Linked DNA regions of Canis lupus familiaris. The protein of the gene in region 6 interacts with the protein of the main gene of each other region in a pairwise test. Links are inferred from orthologs where the notes say so. Each region holds a gene or a part of one and is shown on either strand. Other genes may lie near its edges. The genes, in order: RASSF5, DCP1A, ATF7IP, LMO4, EWSR1 and SMAD4.

Region 1 (4,225 bases), on a different chromosome or scaffold from region 6:
ACCTTCATCAAAGGCTACTTACTGAGGCTGCTCTGTGCCTGGCACTTTGTTAGGGGCAGATGAAATAAAGGCAAGACACTAATACCTAAGTGCTCTCTAAGCCACTGGTATTCAGTGAGGATGCTCCTCGGCCACACCCAGCAGGAATGGTGTTTCTGGAGGACAGCCGACACCCGCACATCCGGGGATGCTCATGGCACTCACTTCCCCACTTAGTTCAACCAGGCAGGGTTTGAGAACTACACTCACTGCGTGGAAGGGTGACCCTCAGAGGTGTCATGAGGCCAGACAAATAACTGCGGCTGTCGGATGGGAGGGGATAACAGAAACGTTCACAATGCATTTTGCCAGGCACTGTGTTAAAGCACTTTACATATATTCGTTCATTTAATTCTCACATTAACACAATGAAGCCGACAGGGTTAGCCTCATTTTTTTTTAAGAGCAAGAAAGCAGAGCACAGAGATGCCCAGAATGACACAGAGATTAAGCGGTGGAGTAGGGATTTGAAACAGGTCCTCTGGCTTCAGTCTGTTCTCTTAATCGCTGCATGCTATTGCCTTTTTAGAGTCCTATTTCTGAACCTTGCTCTTGAAAACAAAGATCAAACAAACCAACCGCAGCATGGAATTAGATGGTCAACTTAAAGGAAGATGCTCGGGGAGTGCAGCCAGCTGTGTCTTCACCTGCCAGCGCTCATTCGCTCATTCGCACATCAGAACATTTCTCAACTGTTCCCACCCAGCCACAGGTCCCCAGCTAGTTAAATATTAATAATGACAAACAGAGACTCCGCTCCTAGTCCCTTGATTCCAGCTCTGCTCCCTCTCTGGTGTTCAGACATCCCTGGGTGATACAGTCCCCAAACGTCTTAATACAGACTAGAATTCCACTGAAGTGGATTTCCCAGGATTCCAGCACAGCGAACTCCAGGACGGTGAGTGCTCCCTCTGTCTGTGTTTATAGACGTGGGGGGTACAGTAAAGTACCCGAGGACCCCTGAGAGGGCAATAGTTGCCAAGACGTCCATGGGCAAGTGACATTTGATTCTACTGTAAGGTCGGGAGCATTTACCGAGTGGCAGCTGCCCTCCAACCACAACACCCACCTCTATGAAGTCTGCTCTTTCCTTTCGTGTTAGCACCTAAACCGTGAGTTCTGCTGGCAGAGGGAGCAACACCTACTCTCCCCTCCAATCTTTCCCTTCTGCTTGACCCTGGCTTAGAATGTGAGCTTTCCTCCCCTGAAGCCAGTCGCAGCAGGGGACACCCTGCACAGCCTCTGCTGTGAACTGCAGAGACGAGACGGGCAAGGTAGGGTTTTCCTGATGGGGAAGCAGCTGCGGTCAGATGGGAGATGTGGGCCCTGGGTCCTGGGGGAAGGGCCCTTCGCGGACAGATACAAACCACAACCCATTTCCAGAGATGCTTGTTAGGGGCTGTGCCATCCTCTGTGCTTTGTACTTCAGATATTTAAATATCTCTGTAAACACGTAAACACATGGATATGGATATCCTCCACCAAACACGGCAACTGCAAATATGGGGGCGGGGAGAGGACACGGTTAAAGAGATACCCGTGCCTAACTGGATGAAGAAACAAAAATAATAACCCTCACCCCCAAGAAGACTGCAAATTTGCTCAGCAAGTCTACACGCTGGGTGTCCAGTGTTCTACAGTCAGGTTTCAAGCAGAGCCTGGCTCAGAAAGAGGCTGGAGGGGCCTGAGAGCTCCAGGGAGGAAAGTACTGGACAGGGAGTTGACACTGATGACTGGTGCACCGCCTAGGGGGAGGGTCAGAGCGGAAGGCAACGAGGGGGGAGGGGGCACGGTCCGGGTGACCTCAGGCTCACTTCCACCCGCAGCCCCTTTCCATCCAAAGCCGAACCGGGTCTCTTTCCCGTCCCAACAGTGCGCCCTGGAGGGGGGTGCACCACAGGTGGACACGCACCGCGGGCCTGGACCGCGGGAGACAAGCCGTTTTCCCATTAACCCTAATAAGCACGGGTCAAATGGCCGTGTCAAGAGCAGTCTCAGCAGCCACTGTCACGAAGCTACAACAAAAGCAAGCGGGTGCGTGGGAGACAACGGAATGACCTTGCCGCGGTGGTCCTCATCCGCAACCCGAGAGCGCGCGCGTGTGTGTGTGCGCGCGTGTGTGCGCGCAGGGGAAGCTACGCACCTGTCAGGGAAAGGGGCATTTGTTAAGCCGGCGTAGGCACACCTGGCGTGCCGGCAGCCCCTGGAGCACACCCGCCCGGAGGCCTCCCGCGGCCCCCCGAGCCCCCCCCCCCCCCGCCCCGGCCTCGCACTCACTCGCGCAGCGCAGCGCCCGCCGCAGCACCTCCCGTCCGCACAGGTCGCACCAGCCGCGGCCGCCCCGCAGCGCCAGGTCGCCGAAGCGGTGCCCCTCGCCTCGCTCCACCGGGACGCGGGGGTCCTGCGGCTGCTCGAAGATGCTCCGCACGTCGCGGGGCCGGGGCGCTCCGGGCCGCCGCCGCAGTCTCTGCTGCAGACCCGGCCGGATGGGGCGAGGGGGTCTGGGCGGCCGCGGCTGGGGCTCCGCGTCCGCCCGGGCGGCCCTGCGGGCGCCGCGCCCCTCGTGCGCCCCGGGCGCGGTGGACAGAGGTGCCGGGGCGCAGCGGCGCGGGGAGCGGCCGGGGGGCGGCGGCGGCGGCGGCTCGGGGCCGCTCAGGCTCTGCAGGTACCGCGGCGGCTCTGGGTCCAACAGCAGCCGGTAGGGACGCTGCCCGATGGCCGGGGACGCCATGGCCACGCGCGCCGGCGGCGGCGGCTCCCGAGTCCGCTCGAGAGGCGGGCGGCCCGCCCTCCCCCGCGCGCCTTTAAGGGGCCGCAGCGGGCGGGGCGGGGCGCGGCGGGGCGGGGCGGGGCGCGGCGGGGAGGCCGCCCGGGGAACCACCCGCCGCCGAGCGCGCGCTCCGGGGCGTCTGCGGGAGGCCGAGCGGACGGCCCGGGCCGCTCAAGACGCGCTGCTGCCGCCGCCGCCGCCTGCAGCCCCGCCTCCTCCGCTCTCCCGCCGCTTCCCCCGCCCCCCGCCCCCCCACGCCCAGGTGAGGGCGCAGGAGGCCGCGGGGGGCCTAGGAACTAGCTGGGGGGGGCGTCTACGGCGAGGTCCCGGGCCGGGGCGCGCACATCCTCGGCCTCCCCCGCCCCCCCCCCCCCCGCCGGGCGGAACCGCGTGACCCCCAGGGGCGCGCGGCGGGGACGCTGCCCTCGCCGACCGCGGGACGGGCTGGATTTCCCCTACCGGGTTCCCCTTTCCCGGAAGCCTGGGGTGCGGATGACCCCGGGCCCGGCCCCCGAGAGCGCCCCCCTCGCGGCTGCGGAGCGCGCGTCTTCCTGGGTCGCGGCCGGCTCTGCCCGCGGCTGCCCGGGGACCCCGGGACCCCCCTGCGTCAGGAGAGGACGGCGCCCCCGGGGACCCGACGCCGGGTCGCTTTCCGCTGCCCCCGAGCCTGCTTCACAGCCTCCTCTGTCCCTTCCATCTGGTGGCTCCGATTCCACCGTCTTGAGGCTTAATATTCGTTGAACGGAGAGCCCGGCAGGTTTTCTTTACACCGGATCCCGCCAAGTTAGCAGCCTGTCCTGACCGTCTCTCGCGGGCGGGGAACGGGACTGCTGGACCTTGGAAGGGGCCAGAAGCATGGCCCTGGGCCCCCTCCAGCCTCCAGCCTCCAGCCTCCAGGGTTTGTTTTTTGCCTGTAAACTAGTCTGGGAGTGGGAAGACAGGCAATTGCATTTGCGATCCACTCTTCTGACGCAGTGACCACCGCCCGTCCTCGTAAAACCTGGGGTTCAGTTTGGTTGATTCAACAGAGGTCACCAACTTTGAAAATAATCTAAAGTCCTCTCGACCTCCCACTGGCACCCTCTCCTTCCCAGGTCAGAGATGGGACTCCCCCCAGCGCCCGGTGGGGGAATCTTCACTTTTGCTTTTGCTTTTCCTTTGGAGGTAAGTTTTAGATGATTCCTAAAATTTGGAAAGTCCAGTGATCAGGGAATTCCCAGCCTGCTTCCGTCCACAGCTTCTCCTTCATGGTGATGGCAATCAGAGAGCCCTTTGCGTTGAGGCAGGGGACATGTTCCAGGTGCCGGGCCTCACCGGAGGCTGGAGCTTCTCACCTCAAGAGGTGGTCTCTGGGCACAAGGGAAAATAGCCAACCCCACAGTGTTACAAAGCAGAAGGAGCTGAGATGAGGACGTG
Region 2 (3,500 bases), on a different chromosome or scaffold from region 6:
AAAGCTTCACATGTGGGTAAAATTCAAATGCTGTTTATTTAAAGGCTGTGAACCTACCACCAATTACAGACCATAAGTGTACCTTTTAGTATTAGTGGGTGCAAATAATCAGACTACATAAATTCTAAGCCTTAGCAGAGGCTACAAGGGTTAACAATAGGTAAGAAGCTTTTTCAGAACTACTTGTTGCAGGCTACCTTCCACAACCTGAAACCATTTTCTCCCATAGTAATTTTACAGGAAACAGAAAAAGAGCATTCTAGGTTTTTATGGCAAGTCAAGGACTCGGAGATATGCAAATTTCTTTCCCTTTTAGGCTAAAAACTGTAAGGCAAAATTCTCTTTTTGGACTAATCATCTCTGCTTTTTGGACTAAGTCATCTCTGCCTAGAGGTGACCTTCCCAGTACATGAGTCCCCCAGAGGCCTCCCCCACCCTTGCTGGTCCTCCTAGTCAGCATCTCACCCTCTCATATTCATCCTTGGCTCTGCTTAGCATCTCCAGGATGTCGATGGGCCTGTGGTCACTGCAGCCGTTGGCCTGGCTGGGACTCTGCTTGTCCCGGGCAGCTTGCTGGGACCGCCGTGTCTCCTCTTCTACAACACTAGTGGAAGAGAACCAGGTTTCAGAAACACTTCTTTTTTTTTTTTAAATATATATATATATTTTTAATTTTTTATTTATTTATGATAGTCACGGGGGGGGGGGGGGGGGGGCAGAGACACAGGCAGAGGGAGAAGCAGGCTCCATGCACCGGGAGCCCGATGTGGGATTCGATCCTGGGTCTCCAAGATCGCGCCCTGGGCCAAAGGCAGGCGCCAAACTGCTGCGCCACCCAGGGATCCCAGAAACACTTCTTTAAACCCGATTTGACCCATGAACTCTCCTGGTGTTCGTCTTCTGTGGATATGGGAAGAGTGTCACAGGATACACTGTTCTCCCAATACATATGCAAGGCCTCCGCTACCTCATCCCGGAAACATGTTCATCCCGGGAACATGTGACTAACCACTTGGCCAGCTCATGCATAACAACGCTGAATGGCGTGTCTCACTGTTTGAAGGACAGAAGTACAGAATCCTTTTCTAGAGTTGGTGGAAGCAAATAAAGTAAAAATGACTTAATTATTTCTCTTTCAAACTACCAGGTAAAGTACATTTTCAAATGGACATGGCAAGCAAGACAAAGGCAGGTTGCAGAGCTGAGCAACCAACTATGCAAAGTTTGTACGACACCAGACTAGCAAGGAAAGAGAGAAACCACCTTCTTGAAAAGAGGGGTCTTGGGGAATCTTCAAAGGTTTCCTTTATTCTCTCCTTAGAAATCAGAGTGGGTGGCTGAGGTCAGGGTGATTGGTAATGCTCTTTATTCTGATTGGTGCTTACACTAATTCTGCACTTGAAAACACACAAAGCAAGAAAAGTTGAGGGTTAAGAATGTCACTGATAGGGTTGGGGCCTTTTTTCTTTTTAAGATTCATTTATGTTTTAATCCCAGCTGTAATGAGTAGGTTATTATGAGCACAGACACAGCTTGATAATTGTATGAACTGAAAACTTTCTGGACAGTGATAAGGATAGGCAATAAAATAATTCAGCAGCCAAGGGTTTGTTGTTTATTCTGAATAACAGGAGCAGAACAATAGGCTACTTGGTATCTGTTCACTGCTCTAAAACAGCCTTTTAAACAGCCTGCTTAGGAGCTCCCATTACTGTGTGTGGGATGGTTCTTCTATTTGAAAACACTGAAAATATCAAACAGATCTTTTTTTTTTTTTTAACAGCAGAATCATTCTGACTTTTTAACATGCTAAAATGTATTACGATTCTCTGATAAGGGTGGGCTTAAAAATTTTCCCAAATTTATTTGACCATATAGAATCTTCTCCTGAGGCAGGATTTGTTTGGAAAATTCTGCTTTAAGGTAATGGCATTTATTGATCTAGATTCTTACAGCTGTGAATAGGATGATTAGTTTTGGCTTTTTTTTTTTTTGGATTTATTTATTTATTTATTTAGACAGAAAAAGCATGTAGGGAAGCAGAGGGAAGGGGAGAATCTTAAATAGATTCCCCACTGAGTGCAAATTCCCAAAGGGTTTGATCCCAGGACCCGGAGATCATGACCTGAGCCAAAACCAAGACTGAGATGCTTAACCGACTGAGCCACCCAGGAGCCCCTGGGATAATTATTTTGAAAATAAATATACAATCATGGACTTTACAGTAGAGTGAAAGAAGACTGTTATGTGATATGAGAATCAGACCATTTAGAATCAACATTATTTTTTCCTCTATCCATACTGGGAAAGAAAGATTGTGACAGCTGTGAGGCCAGTTACAAAGGAAAAAAAGACCAGAGAGACATATATTGGTTATTTCTTAATGGTGGGTCACAAGCAATTTCACTTTCCTTTTTTGTACTTTCCTCCATGTTCCGTTATTTTATTTTTTTAAAGATTTTATTTATTTATTTATGAGACACACAGAGAGGCAGAGACACAGGCAAGAGGGAGAAGCAGAGTCTCTGCAGGGAGCCTGATATAGAACTCGATTCCAGGACCCTGGGATCATGACCTGAGCCTAAGGTGAACGCTCAACCACTAAGCCACCCAGGTGCCCCTCTTCATGTTCCATTATTAACAAGCCCTCCTTAATAATCAGGAGGATAAAAAAAAGTGCTATTTCAAGGGACTTGTAGTTACACTCAGTTATAGACTGCACCGGTCTGAATCCACCTTTACTGAGGACTCCAGTTGCACAGCCTATTTCTCCTGCCTCCTGCCATGCTGCTTGTCTTGCCCAGGCTGGTATTCCTCTCTCCCCTGACCCGGACTGGATCTGTAATTTTGATTCAAAAGAAGAACATCTCTTTTATTTCCTTTTCTTTCTTTCTTTTTTATTTTTAAAGTAAGCTTTACGTCCAACATGGGGTCTGAACTCCTGCCCCTGAGATCAAGAGTTGCATGCTCTACTGACTGAGCCAGCCAGGGGCCCCCAAAGAGAATTCTGGTCATTTCTAATAGTCACCACCGCTCACCCGTGGAATACGGCCACCTTATAAAGCACACCACTGCTGCAAGCAGAAGCTGTCTAGGTGGCATGGAAGGAACAGGAATGATGCTTAGACTCTGTAAAGACTCTTCTAATCCAAACTCTGTGAGGAATGCCCTTGCCTCTCACCCTCCTCTCAAATATACCCCAAGACTACCTGTAAAATCAGGAATAAAGCTTATTTCCATGAATTCTCCAAATTTCATAGTCTATATAGGCAACCATTCTAACAAGTGCTTATTGTTAAGAAGAGTTTCTGGCAGAGTGGATTTCCTCTTTAAGAGAGTCAGCATTTCCTAAGTTTAGTGAATTTTCAACTTTGCCACTGACCAGAGAGGATTTCCAAATTCAGATATGGTACAGGTCTAGAAGTTCACTTGCTCTCCCACATAGCCTCTCAGTGTTTTTTTTTTTTTTTTTAATTTTTTATTTAAATTCAATTTGCCAA
Region 3 (3,500 bases), on a different chromosome or scaffold from region 6:
TCATCTTTTATAATATTTTCACTAATGGTTTCTACAAGGTCTGCAGAATTTTCATCTTCATTCTTTTCACTTTGGTCAATTTCCATACTGCTGGAGATAGCCTCCTCTCTAAGAGCAGGTTCTGTGACAGCATCTTCTTTTACCTTCTTTTCATTCTCAGGAGGTAGATCTGAACAAATAACTGTATCATCTGTTTCTAGGGTTTCTTCATCAGCATCAATATTACTATCAGCTTTATTTTTCTCATCCAATGAGAAAATTTGGTCTAACTTTTCATCATCCCCATTTTTTTCAAGAAAATCATCACCTTTATTGCTACTAAGCTCTGTACTGTCAGTTTCAGGAACAGGTTCACAAACTGGTACAGAAGCTGGTTCAAAGGTGGGATCAGAGGTTAGTTCATCAGAAGTGGGTTCATCAGAGGCCAGATCACCAGAGGTTGGATCACCAGAGGCTAGATCACCAGAAGCCAGATCACCAGAGGGTGGATCATCAGAGGCCAATGCTCCAGAGGACAGATCACCAGAGGCTGAATCACCAGAGGCTGGATCACTGGAGATCGGTTCACCAGAGACTGATTCATCAGGGACTGACTCACCAGACACCAATTCACCAGAGAATGGCTCACTGGAAACTGTTTCACCAGAGACTATTTCACCAGAGGTGATATCACCAGAGGTGGGATCGCCAGAGGTGGGATCACCAGAGGCAAGATCACTAGAGGTGGCATCACCAAAGGTTAATACTTCAGAAGCCAGATCTTCAGGGGTTGAATCTCCAGATGCTGGATCTCCCATAGCCAGATCAACAGAGGCTGGCTCATCAGAAGCTGGTTCAGCAGTCAGTTTACAAACTAGTTCAGGAGCTATATTATTAGTAGACAAAGGTTCATGCTTTAAATCATCATCCTGCTTGTTTTTTACATTAACATTTAAGGTACAGGACGTTTCTTTCCATTCTGATTTACTTTTTTCAGGGTCAAAACAAAGCTCTTCAATGCCATTCACCTCTTCTTTGTCATTAATATAATCCATATTTTCCAAAGGTGAGGTTGGGTCCAAATCTCCATTTTCATGGTTGCCATTTAACAGCTTAACATCAGCTTTCAACAGTTCTTCTTTGACCTTGTACACTGCTTCAAGTTGCTGACGATCACTCACTCTCATTGTTTTTCGAGCCTTAAAGACTTTTTTCTGAGGTTCTTCTATACTATCCATTTTGAATCTTTAAAAAGAGAAAGAGAGAGAGTTTAATAATTGAAACAGAAGCCACCTAATCATAGATGAACTGCAAACTGATCTTAACAAGCAAGTAGGCCTTAATGTAATTTTGAAATAATGACATATAGAAAGCATAATAATCCTTGCTATGTGTTAATTTTCATATTAATTGGGCTTATGTAATGTAAAATTGATGACAGGTATGAACCATACATAGAAGATCAATCATCATGAAGTACTAAAAAAAAAAAAAAAAAAAAAAAAGACTAGCTTTTTTGGGAGGACAGCAAGAGTCAGTCTTTAGAGCCACTCTTGGAGCCGAACTGTAACGTCCCCTCTTCCTCCACTTCCCATTTTGCAAACAATTAAGGCCATTCATCCCATTAAAAAAGAAAAGAAAAGAAAAAACAAGACAAGAAAGGAAAAGAAAGAGAAAGAAAGAAAAGAAAGAAAGAAAGAAGAAAGAAAGAAAGAAAGAAAGAAGAAAGAAAGAAGAAAGAGAGAGAAAGGAAAAAGTGACTAGTTTCTAGTTTTCTCAGTAAGCTAATGAATTCAGAATCTAGAGGATATAGTAGCATAAAAAAAGTAAATGCAGTAAAAAAGTAGATGGAGAAAGAAAAATAAAAGTATGAGAGACCAAAAGCAGTAGAGGAATGGGAAAGAGATATACAAATAAGGAAAAAAAGAAAGGAAAATTAAGGAAAGATGGCATTTGCAATCAGGCATATCTAAATTAACAGTACTATAAATATATTTACAAAAGATTACCATCCAAAAATTGCTAAGATAATTCTCAACAGGAAACATTCACATATCATATATTTGCAAATAATGTATCTAAGAGACTTGCATCTAAAAAATATAAAATACTATTACAACTGAATAACAACAAAAATAACCCAACTTTAAATGGACAAAGTAACTGGGGTGCCTGGGTGGCTCAGTCATTAAGCACCTGACTCTTAATTTCAACTCAGGTCATATCAGGGGTGTGGAATCAAGCAGGGAGTCTACATGAAAAGTCTGCTTGAGGTTCTCTCTCCCTTTCCCTTTCCTCTGCTTCTCCCCACCCACCTGTGCTCAAGGGAACACAGATCCGTGCACGTGTGTGCATGCTCTCTCAATTTTTTTTTAAACAGACCAAGTAATTGAATAGACGTTTCTCTAAAAGATATACCAATTGCCAATAAACCAATGCTAATAAAACACTAAAAAATGAAAAGATGCTCAACATTACTAGTCATCAGAGAAATATAAATCAAACTGCAATGAAATAACACTTCATATACACCAGAATGGCTATAATCAAAGAGAATAATGAGTATTGGTAAAGACACAGACAAACTGGAACCCTCACACAATGCTTGTGGGATTATAAAATGGTACAGCTGCTCTGGAAAAGTCTGGGAGTTCTGCATCATGCTAAACGTTAACCATTAATTTTCTATATTTCCTCTTTTGCAATACACATAAAGCTATAAATTTCCCTTTTAATGTTGCTTTAGCTGCATTGCATATTTTGATGTGTTACATCTTCATTGTTGCTCTGCTAAAATATTTTCTAATTTCTCTTGTGATTTATTCTTTCACATGTTATTTAAAAGTTGCTTTAGGGGATCCCTGGGTGGCGCAGCGGTTTGGCGCCTGCCTTTGGCCCAGGGCGCGATCCTGGAGACCCGGGATCGAATCCCACGTCGGGCTCCGGTGCATGGAGCCTGCTTCTCCCTCTGCCTGTGTCTCTGCCTCTCTCTCTCTCTCTCTGTGACTATCATAAATAAATAAAAATTAAAAAAAAAAATTAAAAAATTTAAAAAAAAAAAAAAAAGTTGCTTTAAAAAGGCATATATTATGAGTATGTGAAGCTCATTAAAAAAAATACAAGGTTGGTTTCATTTTTTAAAAAATGAAGCAATGTAGATTATAAGTGAGTCATGAAGCATTATGGCTTTCTTTCAGGCCCAACCAAGGTGTCCATCTGATAAAATATATTATTTTCATATTACAATGTCTCGGAATGTAATCTTATTTAGACAGAATCTTTGCAAAGGTAAACAAGATAAAGTAACATCATTAGGGTGGGCCCTAATCCACTATGGTTGGTATCCTTATAAAAAGGGGGAAATCTGGATATAGATATGCACACAGAGAGCCATGGAAAAACTGGAGTTTGGCTATTGCCAAGTCACAGCTAAGAGACAGGTCTGAAATAGGTCCTTCCTTAATCCCTGCATGGCCCTGGATTGCCTTCATTTCAAACTTTTAGCATCTAGAACTATGAGA
Region 4 (3,937 bases), on a different chromosome or scaffold from region 6:
GAGGTGGTGGGAGGGGAGGCAGGGGACGCGAGGGAGGGGGTGCGGTGTGTAAAGTTGCGAAACTGGTTTTTCGTATTTTAAACAGCACCTTTCACATGCCATTGTGGTGACCGCCATCTCCCATTATTGTTCCAAATCTCATTTCATTTTGAAGATCAATGAGTGTTTTCTCTGGGTTTTCAGGACACAGGCAAGAATAATAGATCATTGAACTTTAGGATGCCTGTTAACTTCCTATACAAACACTCTCCACTTTGGTCTCACTAATCTGCCCTTGATCAGCAATTTAAATGCTAAAGCTTTGTTCCTCCAAAGGGGGGGGAGTGTGTGTGTGTGGGGGGGGGGGGGGGGCGACGTTACAGATAATATGCGAGAAGGCACTATTAAGGGATGCACAAGTTATATTCGAGCCAGTCCTGCTGTCACCAAAAACTGCTTTTAAAAAAATTCCCCACTCTTTCTAATGAATGTCACGAGAAGCAACTGGGGTATAATATAGGAATCAATTTATAAAGCTTAGCCTAAACCGATTAATTTGTTGCCTCCAATCCTGAGTCCAATAAAGTCCTAGTGTTCCTCCAGTCACTTATTCTATAAAAAGATCAAGTTATTTACTGCCAATTAAGCAGCCTGTTTTGTCTTTGTCCTCTGTAAGCCGAGAGTGGAGGCTCCCCCCGAGGCTCCCGGCTATCTGCTCAAGACATTCAGCTGATACCTCAGAAGGGAGAGGGCGAACTTTGCCTGTCCCCGGCCCAACTTGGCTGCTGCAAAAAAAAAAAAAAAAAAAAAAAAAAAAAACAACCAGGGGAAGGGAACGAAACAAGGACTCGGGTTCCTTAAATAGGCCGATTTTAAACACATTTCCTCCGAAAGAGTCCCGGAACGTGTGTCCAGTGACCGCACAATAAACCAGAATAAGAACTGCACCAATTAAGCTGTAACAAAACCCTGAGACTTTGGAAACAGGACCACTCTAAAACCCATTAGCATTGCATTTATCCGAATGCATCATACCTTTATGTAAATTGATTTATCTGATGCATTTACTCGAGGAATTGCTTTTTGTTACAATTTCAGCCCTAACCCAAATGAATCTGCATTTCCTGCCCGAGGTCTTTAAACTGTTTCCCCCAACGTTTTAATCGCTCCGAATTCCTTTTTAAAAGGGGAGAGGGAGGGAGGAGATTCCAAGCTCTTCCCCGCCCCCATCTTTGGTGAGAGGTAAATATATATGTATATTTTTTTCGAAAAGGAAACATTACACTGAGAAAAGCATCCAGTAACCCCATTAGCTAAAGCTCTTAAGGACAAGCAATACCTTAATGCTGATTAAATCTAAAAGAGATGAATCAAGAGGACTGACCAGAAACTGACTCCCCTGATAACTAAGGACGGGCCCTCATCAAGTTTCATTTAGAGTTGGAAAAAAAAAAAAAAAAAAAAAAGAAAGCTTTTAAGTTAAATAGGCTTATACTCTAGTAATTACATAGCCAAGCAATTTAGGTCCTGGGATAGTCAGTGAAATAGAAAGCAGAACTGGCAGCTAGAGGCAAAATCTGCCCCCCTTTAACAACGTCTCTGGTGTTTTTTAATGGAGACCAGGGGAGGGACAAACGTAGCGCTGGCAATTTGTAGTACAAAAATGGATGCTTAATTCATGTCTTGATTTTAATTAGGTGATTCACCGGATTTCTCCTGGATTGGAACAAAAGACTTATAAGCCAAGAGGAATTTTTGAAAAGAACCAGCAATACTGAATCCTGCTCACTTAGATCCTTTCTGCCACTGTTTCAAAAATAGTGTTTACTGGGGGGCTGGGGGGGGGGGTCGTGACTATTTCCCCCACACTACTTCTCATACTTAAACCCTCATTTAAGCACCTCCGGCCTTTCCCTTAGGAACTGAAAATACCCCCCCACTACCACACACACACACACACACACACACACACACACGCACACACGCACACACACCCCTCCCCACCCTCCCAGGTCCCCAGCAGCCCCGTCTCCAAGAAGAACCCTTTTGTAAGCAGGAACCGCTACAAAGCTGGCGGCCCGGGGCCGGCTGCCCTCCGTGCTAGCTCGCAGGCCGGCCTCGGTAGTTTCAGACTCGCGCATTATCCAAGCCGACGTATTGTTTACTTGCAATTTGGGACGGTCAAGGGAAGGAAGCCAAAGAAAACAGCCCTGGCCCACATCGGCCCCCTCCTCCCTCTGCCCCCCCTCGCCCGCGGCTCCCCAGCCGTCCCCTTACCTGCTTTTCCCCTATATTGCAATACTGCGAGAGGCGGCGGCGGCGAAAAGCGAGCGAAGCCGCTCGGCTTCCAAGGAAGGGGCGCCTTGGCTGGCGGAGCTGGAGGGAGGGGGGATGTTCTCGCAGAAGCAGGAAAGGGGAGGAGGGGGCTAAGGGCTGCTTTTTTTTTTTTTTTTTTTTTTTTTTTTTAAACGCGTCGCCCTGAGGCTGGGTCGGGGGGCCCCGCCGTAAGCGGCAGGCGGCCGGGAGCTGGAGTGTCAGGCTGAGTCCTCCGCGTCGTCCTCCGCCTCCGCCTCCGGCTCCGGCTCCGCGCGAGCAGCTGCAGGAGCCCGCGGCCCGCGCGGCGCGGCTTCAGGCGCGGCGCAGCGGCAGCAACTGCTGCAATCGCTGCTGCAAGTTTGGCAATGTGGCTTCACTTTGTATATGCCCCCGCCCCCGCCCGCGCGCCTCCCGCTCCTCCTCCTCCTCCTCCTCCTCCGCCTTCCTCCCTCCCGCGCGCCCGCCCGCCCGCTCGCTCGCCCGCTCGCTCGCTCGGGGCCGGCGGCGGGCGCTCGGCCGCGCTTCCTGCCCCTCCAGCCGGGGAGCGGCCGCGGGCACCAGAGCCCCGGAGCGGCGGCGGCCGGCGCGGAGGCCGGGAGCCGGGGAGCTGCGGCCGGCCGGGCCCGGCGCGCTGGAGCCTGCGCCGCTGCCCGGGCTGCTGCTGCTGCGGCGGCCGCCCGGCTCGGAGGAGGCGGCGGCGGCGGCGGCGCTGGCCTCTAGCCGGCTCGCTCGCTCCCTGCGCGGCGCTTACACATGTGTTACTGACAGAGCCGAATCCCAACTACTCCCCGGCTCTGCCGCCGACGTCAGCGACCCTCAGCCACTGGGCGGCCGGGTTGTTCAGGCGGAATAATAAAACCTGCCAATCCGGGGCAGGACAAAGGGAGGACTGGAACGAGACTCCGCGGGCGGGGGAGCGGGGGAGGCGGCGGGCGGAGACGGCCCGGCCGGGGGCAGGTGGGCGGCCGAGCCCCGGGGACCCTCGCGGGACCCCCGGCGGGACCCCAACCCCCTCCCGCGGGGGGCAGGATGGAGCGGCCGGGGGCGCCGCTCCTGCCCGCGCCGGCGATCGCGGGGACCCGCACCCGCGCGCCCCTCGGGGACCCCCCCCCCGCGCGCCCGCGCGAGCCCCGCAGGAAACTTCTCGTCTTGCTCAAAAATGGGTCCCCTCCTGTTGGGGAGGAAGAGTCTCCCCGAAACCTCCGGGCGGGGGGCTTCGCTCGCACGCAGAAGAGGTTTTGTTTTTCTGCCTTTAATTCGCGGGCGTTGGAGACGGATGAGCCCTTAGTGGGAAGTTGAGCGAGCGAGGAGGTGGGGACCGAGTCCGCAGGTCTTGCAGGACTTGGCCGCCCGGCCCCGGTCCCCCGCGTGGGCCCGAGCGCCGGCCGAGAGCCCCGTGGGCGTCTCGTAGGGGATCGTCCGAAGTCGGAGCTGAAGAGCTCACAGCCCGGACTTTGGGGGTCCAGGGGAACTTCAGGGAGGAGGGCTCGGCCTCCATCCACCCCTGCTGTGCAGGAGGAGAGGCCCGATTCCTCAAGCCCCCCGTCCCCCCCCCCCTCCCCCCCCAGACAGCAACAAGGAATGGCAACATTCACCATCCCACAGCCTCTGGGGAGGAAGAAAGGTCACGTCTAGTATAAAT
Region 5 (3,500 bases), on a different chromosome or scaffold from region 6:
AACTTGAAATTGATTTTGCAATTGGAAAATACTAAGAATTCTAGGTGATTGGAGACGTGATGATAGTAATTTCAAGTGTCTACGTCTATTTTAAAACATCCATAAAGTGAAACCTTTATAATGGAATGACATTTTCCAAATCAGACTGATTTTATTTTATACCAAATTATTTATCAATTTTTGTGTTGTCAGATAACTGTTTCTTCCAATAAAGATTTCACCAAAGACTTTTTTAAGTTATGCAGAATACACAGAACCTAATTCTCAGTTATCTTTCAATAGGAAACAGATTTGGGAATATAAAAATTAAAGATCAAATTTTTATTTAATTTTGAAGTCCACTTCTATTTAAAACAAAACAAAACAAAACAAAAAAGAATCCCTACACCCAATTTTTCCTTGTACCAACAGTGGCACCAAATCCAATTTATACATACTATGTAACATTCTGCATAACTTTTTTTTTTTTTTTTTTTACTAGTTTATATAGGGACAGAACACACACAGAACTAAACCTTCCAGATTATGTTAACCATCAACATTATACCTCACCTTCATCAAAGTACAGACACCATAAAGGGGGGAAGGGATGGGAGAGGGAGGGGAGGGGCAGGCACAGGTAGCAGGGTTATGTTACTGATCTAAACAAAGTTTTCTAAACCAGATTGTGCCATCAATCAAAATGGTCAAACCGATTTAGACTTCTCAAAATCTCCAATGGGGAGTGATCCTGTAATTATATACATTACTCTGCAAAAAACTATTAGACTTTTCTGTACCAGGTGCACCTCAGGTCATAGTTCAGGGGTTATGGGACCAAGATCTTCATCATTACGTTCAACAATTCCAAGTACTAACAGAAGTTGGGGACAAACATTGTGGAAAACAACTGTGTTCCTTTTCTGCAGTATATATATATATATACCAGGTATTTCAAGACAACCATTCAAAGGCAATTAGTTAAAAACCTAGGGGTGTTAGAAGGGTTGTGTGTGTTCCATCCCGAGTCTATTACCCACAGAGGCTTTTGACCTCTGGAAACCATGAAGGGAACTGAAAGCTCTCGTTTCAAAACCATTCTTTGTTCTCCCCAACCCAACCAAGTAGATTGGCAGGGAAAAAAGCAAACTGCCACTTAATCTATGCCACAAAGATGACATTTCCATGTTTTAGAAGATGGCCTGGGCTCAACAGATTGTCCATGGAAATGTAGAAATAAATTTCTTATGTCTTTCAGTCCCTTCTTTCCATTGAAAATCCTATGGATGAAACAAAATTAGGTAAAAGGAGAAAAGGTTTGCTCTTACCCCATTCCACCGCGTCCTCCTCCCCGCCCACCTCTGCTCATGCCTCCACGATCAAATCCCCCTCTTCCCCTGCCCCGGTTATCAGGGCCACTCATGCTCCGGTTCTCTCCTGGTCCGGAAAATCCTCCAGACTCCTGCCCATAAACACCCATGCTACTGGGGTGGTCCTGTCGGAATGAACCTGAGGAAAGAGTCACATCTGTAAGCCATGGACCAGCATTTGAACACTGCCTGTTGTACTTTCTCCTGGAATCACAGAATGCTCAATCGCAAGGCACTAACCAAGGCACCATCTTCTGAGGTAACCTTACATAGTTAGCCTAGAATAAACCACCCAAATAAGAAATGAGCCCTCTGGTCAACAGTTTATAGGGTTTTGCATCCTAGGATGTCTCCAAAAGCTGTTTTAAAACTACTCTCAGGAAACAAAATAGCAGGCAGGTTTCTTAGGGCTTAAAGGTTGGGCTCCATCAAGAAGCACTACTCATTTCATAGCTATAATGAAACACGCCCATGGATGGAGTTTAATTAAAAACAATGATCCAGATAAAAATTAAATTGGGAATGCAGTTTTGAGTTTTTGGTTACTTTTTTTATGGATTTAAACAAACAAAAAACCCCAAAAACATATCATTTACTTGACTATCAAAACTGCAGTAGTCTTCAACAGCTACCTGCTCGCTTCCTTACTGAGTGGGTGGGTAGGCCACAGGAATGCCAGCTTTACTCACTGTATTATAGCCTCCTCAAAGAGAGCGAGGCTAACGTCCTATAATATTTTCTATGGTTAGTTACAAACTCTCTTTTATTTTATTTTTTTTGCAAAGTACACTAACAACAATTAAATTGGAGAAAAGCATTTATGTCTTTAATGGGATATCCAAGCAGTTAGCTAGGATGTTATGTCCTAAAGATGCATCCTGGAGTCCAAAAGTAAATAGCGACAAAGAGCATTTCCCCATGTTCAGAAACTCCAAACATAATCATTCTTATTTGGTTTTCTCTCTTAGCAACTCACTCTGCTGCCCGTAGCTGCTGCTCTGTTGGCTATATTGACTTGGAGCCTGGCTGTAGGATCCAGTTTGGGGGGGATAACTAGTGGGCGGCTGCTGCCCATAGCTGCTTTGTTGACCATAGCTACTCTGCTGTCCATAGCTGCTCGGCTGCCCATAGGTGTTCTGCTGAGAGTAACTGCTCTGATCATAACTAGTCGGCTGTGTAGAGGAGTAGCTGAAAGAAAGAAAAAAAGCTTATTAGGAAGGAGAAGCTTGTTATTTCTTCAAGCCTCCTAAATACGAGACATTCATATTGTGACACAGAAACCCTTAAAAATGCACTTACTTTCTAAATATCAACAGTTTGAATTTAAGCAAATATATCTGTATTCAGAATAAAGCTTTAAATGCAAAAGAGAAAATTAATGCAAACCAATCTATACAACATACAATCCTTAGAGACTCCTTTTACCCCCCACCCTCTTAAAACCAGTGTTCGATTAAATTCAAGGCAAATTTGTGAGTCTGATGTTTCCTGAATTAAGAATATGTGCACAGGGACCCAGGGCAGGCTGACCCAGTGAAAAAGCCATAGAGGTAAAGGAGGTAGTTAAGTACTGCAGTTCTAAACCTGCCTCTAATAATTCCTTCAATCATGACAGTGACTGTTCTAGAAGTACAAGGCTCTGGTGTGTATACGGTCACACAAATACGGCAATTTTCTCTTGATGATCTGTCCAAGTTTCAAACTGTTTTGCTATATATCATATATGCTTTTGAACTTTCAGACATGCCTGATTATCTATGAAATCTGGGCATTCATGAAGAAAAGACAGATAAGGAAACTAAAGAAACTTCAGAATCAATGCACTGTACTAGAAGTGTTTTTGACGTGTCAGCCACATTGCAGGGAAACTAATCAAAGATACCTTCTTGAGTAATGATAAAGCTTCAAAGAACTGCTATTAAACTTTAGATGAACTATAATAACAAAAATCAAAAAACATTATATTTAAGAGCACAACTAAACTAAGCCTCAATCACATCCCCCAACATGGCTGTAAGGACTCAATAGCTTCTCTTCACTGAGTGTACCTATTCAACAGGCCAGATGCACTACCCTCAGCAACACGGGCTGGCTCAGCGAAGAACTGCCATAAGCCCACTGTTGCTCCACGCTGTACACTTACCGGTCAGT
Region 6 (3,995 bases):
TGTACAATGAGCACCGAAACGGCCAACATAAGATGTTTAAAGCCTTGTTTACTATCAAAATCACTGGATGGAAGATGGGAAAAAGTTAGGCATGAGCTAGAGGGGAACAATATAGAACTGAAATAACTTTAAACATAAAAAAAGGTACTCAACAAAATAGGCAAAATTTTAGACAGGACTAAAAATGCGTTTTAAATGAACGGGACAGATCCTGCAGGGTTAAGAGCCCTAGTAGAGGCCACAGCAATTCACAGCTCAATTAGGATAGTGTCTAATGACGTTATAACACCAGCTCAATCAGAAAAAAACAGCTTCCAAGCCAGAGGGCTGGAGTGTGACTGGGCAGCATAAATTAGTTTAATGCTTTTTTCTCTTTAATATGGGGGGGGGGGGGTGTCTAAAGGGGAATGCAGAAAAACAATTCAGACACAAATAAACAGCTCAACCAAAATGTAGCCTCAGAATAAAACATACATAGGTTTTTAGAAGATTTGCTGCTTCGTAGTGTAAGCAGCATTGCTTCAAGCAGCAAAGCCATTAGAAAAGGCCAATGATCCATGTAAAAATTTCAAATTCACCTTCTCAGCCCAAATTTCCATCAAATCTCAAACTGACGTGCAATTCTTTTCTAAGCTCGAGATTTACAAGGCGGGCACTCAGCTAAACAGAGAAGCTTCCACTCAGGCCCTCCTACTCGGAAAATCAAAGAATTAAGAAGATGCAGTGCCTCTTCAAGCAACCTCACCCAAAAACCTGGAAAGCAAAGAAAAAGCCACTTCTATTAACAGACCCACGAAAGGTTCTATCCATTTTCTCTAGAAAGGCTCTTAGGTTTAATTCCGACAACTTAAACCTACACAATTCATCACCCCCTTTAGACCCCAAAACCCTGCGAGTCCTGTTGGTTCTGGTAACAAACCCGTTTAGGGAAACAAAGTCACAGCTCATGAAACAGCAGCAGGACGTCATATTTTAAGAGGTCAATCACATCATTTACAACTTGAAATGTCACATACTCGGCATATCAGAACTTTTCAGAAGAAAAAATAAGAAGTCCTTAACGGAAAAGTCCTCACGCCTCGGAGGCTCAGAGGCTCGCGGGCAACACGGCGCAGGTGCAGGAAGGCAGGCGCGGGCACCGCGGCCCACCCACCCAGCTGCGTCCTAAATCCCGTTACTTTTTCAAAGCGTGGATTTCCTTATTTCCTCTTAAGACTCCACGGTCTGTTCCAACAAAAACTACTCAACCTACTTTTTTAAGATCCACAGAGACTGCTGCTGAGACTCAAGGGGCGCTCCCTGAGAAGACTAGAGTGCTCCCTGCGAAGACTAGGGTGCTCCCTGCAAAGACTAGAGTGCTCCTTGCGGGGACTCAAGGGGGTGCTCCCCACGGAGACTCAAGAGGACACTCCCTGCAGGGACTCAAGGGGGTGCTCCCTGCGGGGACTCAAGGGGGCGCTCCCCACGGGGACTCAAGAGGACACTCAAGGAGGTGCTCCTCGCGGGGACTCAAGGGGGTGCTCCCTGCGAAGACTAGGGTGCTCCCTGTGGAGACTCAAGAGGACACTCCCTGCAGGGACCCAAGGGGGTGCTCCCTGCAGGGACTCAAAGGGGTGTTCCCTGCGGCAGGTCGGGGCCCCTACCGAGCCTCTGCACCCCAGCTCCTCCGCACCCTGGCTCGCGGTCAGGAGATGCCCAGGAGCCCGCTGCGCCGCGTCCACGACCCCGAAGGGCCCTCAGCCCCACCTCAGAGTACAGCGCAAAAGGCACCAAGGAACTGGGTCCAAAGTGAATTCATCGGAAATAAAATGTGTTCGTGAAAAAGAATCTTTCACCAGGGCTTTGGGGGGGGGGGGGGGAGGTGCTGCGCATCACCACCAGCAGAGCCGTCGGACACCTCTCCAGGCCCCCAAAGCCACCTTTCAAGTTAACCCAACACGCCCATTTCTTTGAAAAATCTTCCCTGAGAAATGATAACCTCAGTTTTGGGGGCAAGTGATGGAGCCACCGCCCTCCGTCCTAGAGCCTCGCGCCCAGCGCTCGCAGTCCCAGCAGCGGGAGAAACTGGGTCCTTGGGTTTTCATTGGGAGTGGGGTGGGGTGGGGTGGGGTGGGGTGGGGTGGGGGGCGGCCGGGAGCTGATTAGGGGAAGGATTGAGGGGTGGAGGGGTGGAAGGGTGGGGGGTGGAGGGATGGGGGGGTGAGAGGTGGAGTGGAGGGGCGGGGTGGAGAGGTGGAGGGATGGAGGCTGGGGGGGCGGCCGGGTGCTCATCAGGAGAGGGGGGAGGGATGGAGGGGTGCGGGGGAGGGGCGCGCGCAGGTCAGCGGGAGGGCTCCCCCCCGCCGCCCGCCCGCTCCCGAGCCGCGAGAGCGCCCAGCGCAGGCCGAGGCGAGCGCCGGAGCGGCCCCGGCAGGAAGGGAAAGTGGAGGACAAAGGCGGCACCGACGTGTCCCCGAGACGGGAAACTTCGGGCGCGCTCGGCGGGGGCGGCGGGCGCAAGTCCTCGGAGCAACAAAGACCGACGGCGACGGCAGGGGAGCCGCGGCGGGCGCGGGGGCGCGGAGGCGCGGGGGCGCTGGGCCCGGGACGCGAGGCGCGAGGCCCCCCGCCCCCCGGCCCCCGCCCCGCCCCCCGCGCACACGCACGCGCACGCGCACACGCACGCACCGGCCGCCCGAGCCCGCCCCGGGGCGGGGAAGCCCGGGGGTGGGGGGGCGCGGGCCCGGCCGGGGAAGGGGAGGGCACGGGGCCGTTACCTGGGCTCCGCCGCCGCCGCCGCCGCCGCCGCCGCCGCCGCCGCCGCCGCCGCCGCCGCCGCCGCCGCCGCCGCCGCCGCCGCCGCCGCCCGTCCGCGGGCCACCGCTCCCCCCGCGCCCCCGCCCCTCCTCGCCGCCGCCGCCGCCGCCGCCCGCCGGCCGCCTCGAGCTCCCGGGCCGCCCCGCGGGGGGGGCCCTCGGTCGCGGGGCGCCCGGCTCCCCTAGCCGCTCCCGCCGCCGGGCGGCCGCGCCGCTGAAGGACCGGCGGGCAAGGCCTCCCGAGGACGGCGCGCGGGCGCCAACGCGGGCCCCGCCACCCGAGCCGCTCCGCTAGCGCAGCGGCGACGACGACCAGGGCCGTGTTGTTGCTGCCAACTTGTCGGGAGGCCACGGAGCATGCGCGCACGGCGACCACATCCGGGTAACTGCAGGCCTCGGCCCGTGCCCCCGCAGCTCCCTCTCCCGCGGCCCCGCCCCCCGCGGAGCGCCGGCGGGGGGGTTGTGCGCAGGCGCGGGGCGCAGGCGCGATGCGCGGCCCGGCGGCGGGCGGCCCCGAGGGCGGACACCTGCCGGGCCCCCTCCCGGCTCCGCGGCGCGCGGACCGGCAGCCCGTGCGGGAGTGTGGCCGCGGGTCACGGAGGCCAGTGGACGGGGCTCGGGGGACACTGCGATGGGGGCGGCGCTCAAGGACCTGCCGCGCACCTGTTGAGGCCACCTGTGGGGCGAAACTCGGCTTCGCAGTGCATACCTACTTATCTCAACTTTTCCAAGATGCGCGCATTTCTTTTATTTTTAAAAGTTTCAGAAAACACGTACGAGTTGCATACTTTCGAATTTTTGTTTTATTTTTTACCACCTAGAAAAAACTTCCCCTGCCGGGGGTGGGGAGCCCGACGCAAGCTAGTGGCGAGGAAGCGCTCAGACCCTCCGTACGCCCGTCCCCGCGCCGGCCCCGCCCGCTGTCCCCACGGCGTCCCGGCCCCGCCCCCGCCCCGCCCCCGCCCCGCCCCCCCGTCCCTGCTCTCCACCCCCGTCCCCGCCCCCGTCCCCGTCCCCTCCCTGCTGTCCTCGCCCCGCTGTCCCCGCCCGTTCCCAAGCTGTCCTGCCTGGCTGTCCCCACGGTGTCCCCCCCTGCTATCCCCTCGGCATCCCGCCCGTTCCCGAGCTGCCCCCCCCCCCCGCACCACGGCAACCCGCACTCCTGCGTGTCCCGCCGCCGTCGTCTCCCGTGTTCCCTGC

Evidence for each region.
Region 1: the proteins of SMAD4 (region 6) and RASSF5 interact in binary tests that used the Homo sapiens proteins (3 or more experiments, as listed by UniProt). The link is inferred for Canis lupus familiaris from reciprocal best matches to the Homo sapiens genes SMAD4 and RASSF5.
Region 2: the proteins of SMAD4 (region 6) and DCP1A interact in binary tests that used the Homo sapiens proteins (3 or more experiments, as listed by UniProt). The link is inferred for Canis lupus familiaris from reciprocal best matches to the Homo sapiens genes SMAD4 and DCP1A.
Region 3: the proteins of SMAD4 (region 6) and ATF7IP interact in a two-hybrid assay, tested with the Homo sapiens proteins (2 studies listed by BioGRID and IntAct). The link is inferred for Canis lupus familiaris from reciprocal best matches to the Homo sapiens genes SMAD4 and ATF7IP.
Region 4: the proteins of SMAD4 (region 6) and LMO4 interact in binary tests that used the Homo sapiens proteins (3 or more experiments, as listed by UniProt). The link is inferred for Canis lupus familiaris from reciprocal best matches to the Homo sapiens genes SMAD4 and LMO4.
Region 5: the proteins of SMAD4 (region 6) and EWSR1 interact in binary tests that used the Homo sapiens proteins (3 or more experiments, as listed by UniProt). The link is inferred for Canis lupus familiaris from reciprocal best matches to the Homo sapiens genes SMAD4 and EWSR1.

Annotation. Positions count from the first base shown.
Region 1 is NC_049259.1:3,364,575-3,368,799, reverse strand, and holds the start of RASSF5 (ras association domain-containing protein 5), read right to left. Parts: upstream 2,801-4,225; 5' UTR 2,771-2,800; coding exon 2,317-2,770; intron 1,461-2,316; exon of another isoform or gene 1,407-1,460; intron 1-1,406. UniProt on the Homo sapiens protein: Potential tumor suppressor. Seems to be involved in lymphocyte adhesion by linking RAP1A activation upon T-cell receptor or chemokine stimulation to integrin activation.
Region 2 is NC_049241.1:36,923,059-36,926,558, reverse strand, and holds part of DCP1A (mRNA-decapping enzyme 1A), read right to left. Parts: intron 605-3,500; coding exon 466-604; intron 1-465. UniProt on the Homo sapiens protein: Necessary for the degradation of mRNAs, both in normal mRNA turnover and in nonsense-mediated mRNA decay. Removes the 7-methyl guanine cap structure from mRNA molecules, yielding a 5'-phosphorylated mRNA fragment and 7m-GDP.
Region 3 is NC_049248.1:14,037,489-14,040,988, reverse strand, and holds part of ATF7IP (activating transcription factor 7-interacting protein 1), read right to left. Parts: intron 1,225-3,500; coding exon 1-1,224. UniProt on the Homo sapiens protein: Recruiter that couples transcriptional factors to general transcription apparatus and thereby modulates transcription regulation and chromatin formation. Can both act as an activator or a repressor depending on the context.
Region 4 is NC_049227.1:61,435,912-61,439,848, forward strand, and holds the start of LMO4 (LIM domain transcription factor LMO4), read right to left. Parts: upstream 2,801-3,937; 5' UTR 2,257-2,800; intron 181-2,256; exon of another isoform or gene 89-180; intron 1-88. UniProt on the Homo sapiens protein: Transcription cofactor. Plays a role in establishing motor neuron identity, in concert with MNX1, acting, at least in part, to disrupt LDB1-LHX3 complexes thereby negatively modulating interneuron genes in motor neurons.
Region 5 is NC_049247.1:23,003,698-23,007,197, reverse strand, and holds part of EWSR1 (RNA-binding protein EWS), read right to left. Parts: intron 2,538-3,500; coding exon 2,326-2,537; intron 1,489-2,325; coding exon 1,308-1,488; intron 1-1,307. UniProt on the Homo sapiens protein: Binds to ssRNA containing the consensus sequence 5'-AGGUAA-3'. Might normally function as a transcriptional repressor. EWS-fusion-proteins (EFPS) may play a role in the tumorigenic process.
Region 6 is NC_049222.1:24,038,340-24,042,334, forward strand, and holds the start of SMAD4 (mothers against decapentaplegic homolog 4), read right to left. Parts: upstream 2,801-3,995; 5' UTR 2,757-2,800; intron 744-2,756; exon of another isoform or gene 579-743; intron 1-578. UniProt on the Homo sapiens protein: In muscle physiology, plays a central role in the balance between atrophy and hypertrophy. When recruited by MSTN, promotes atrophy response via phosphorylated SMAD2/4.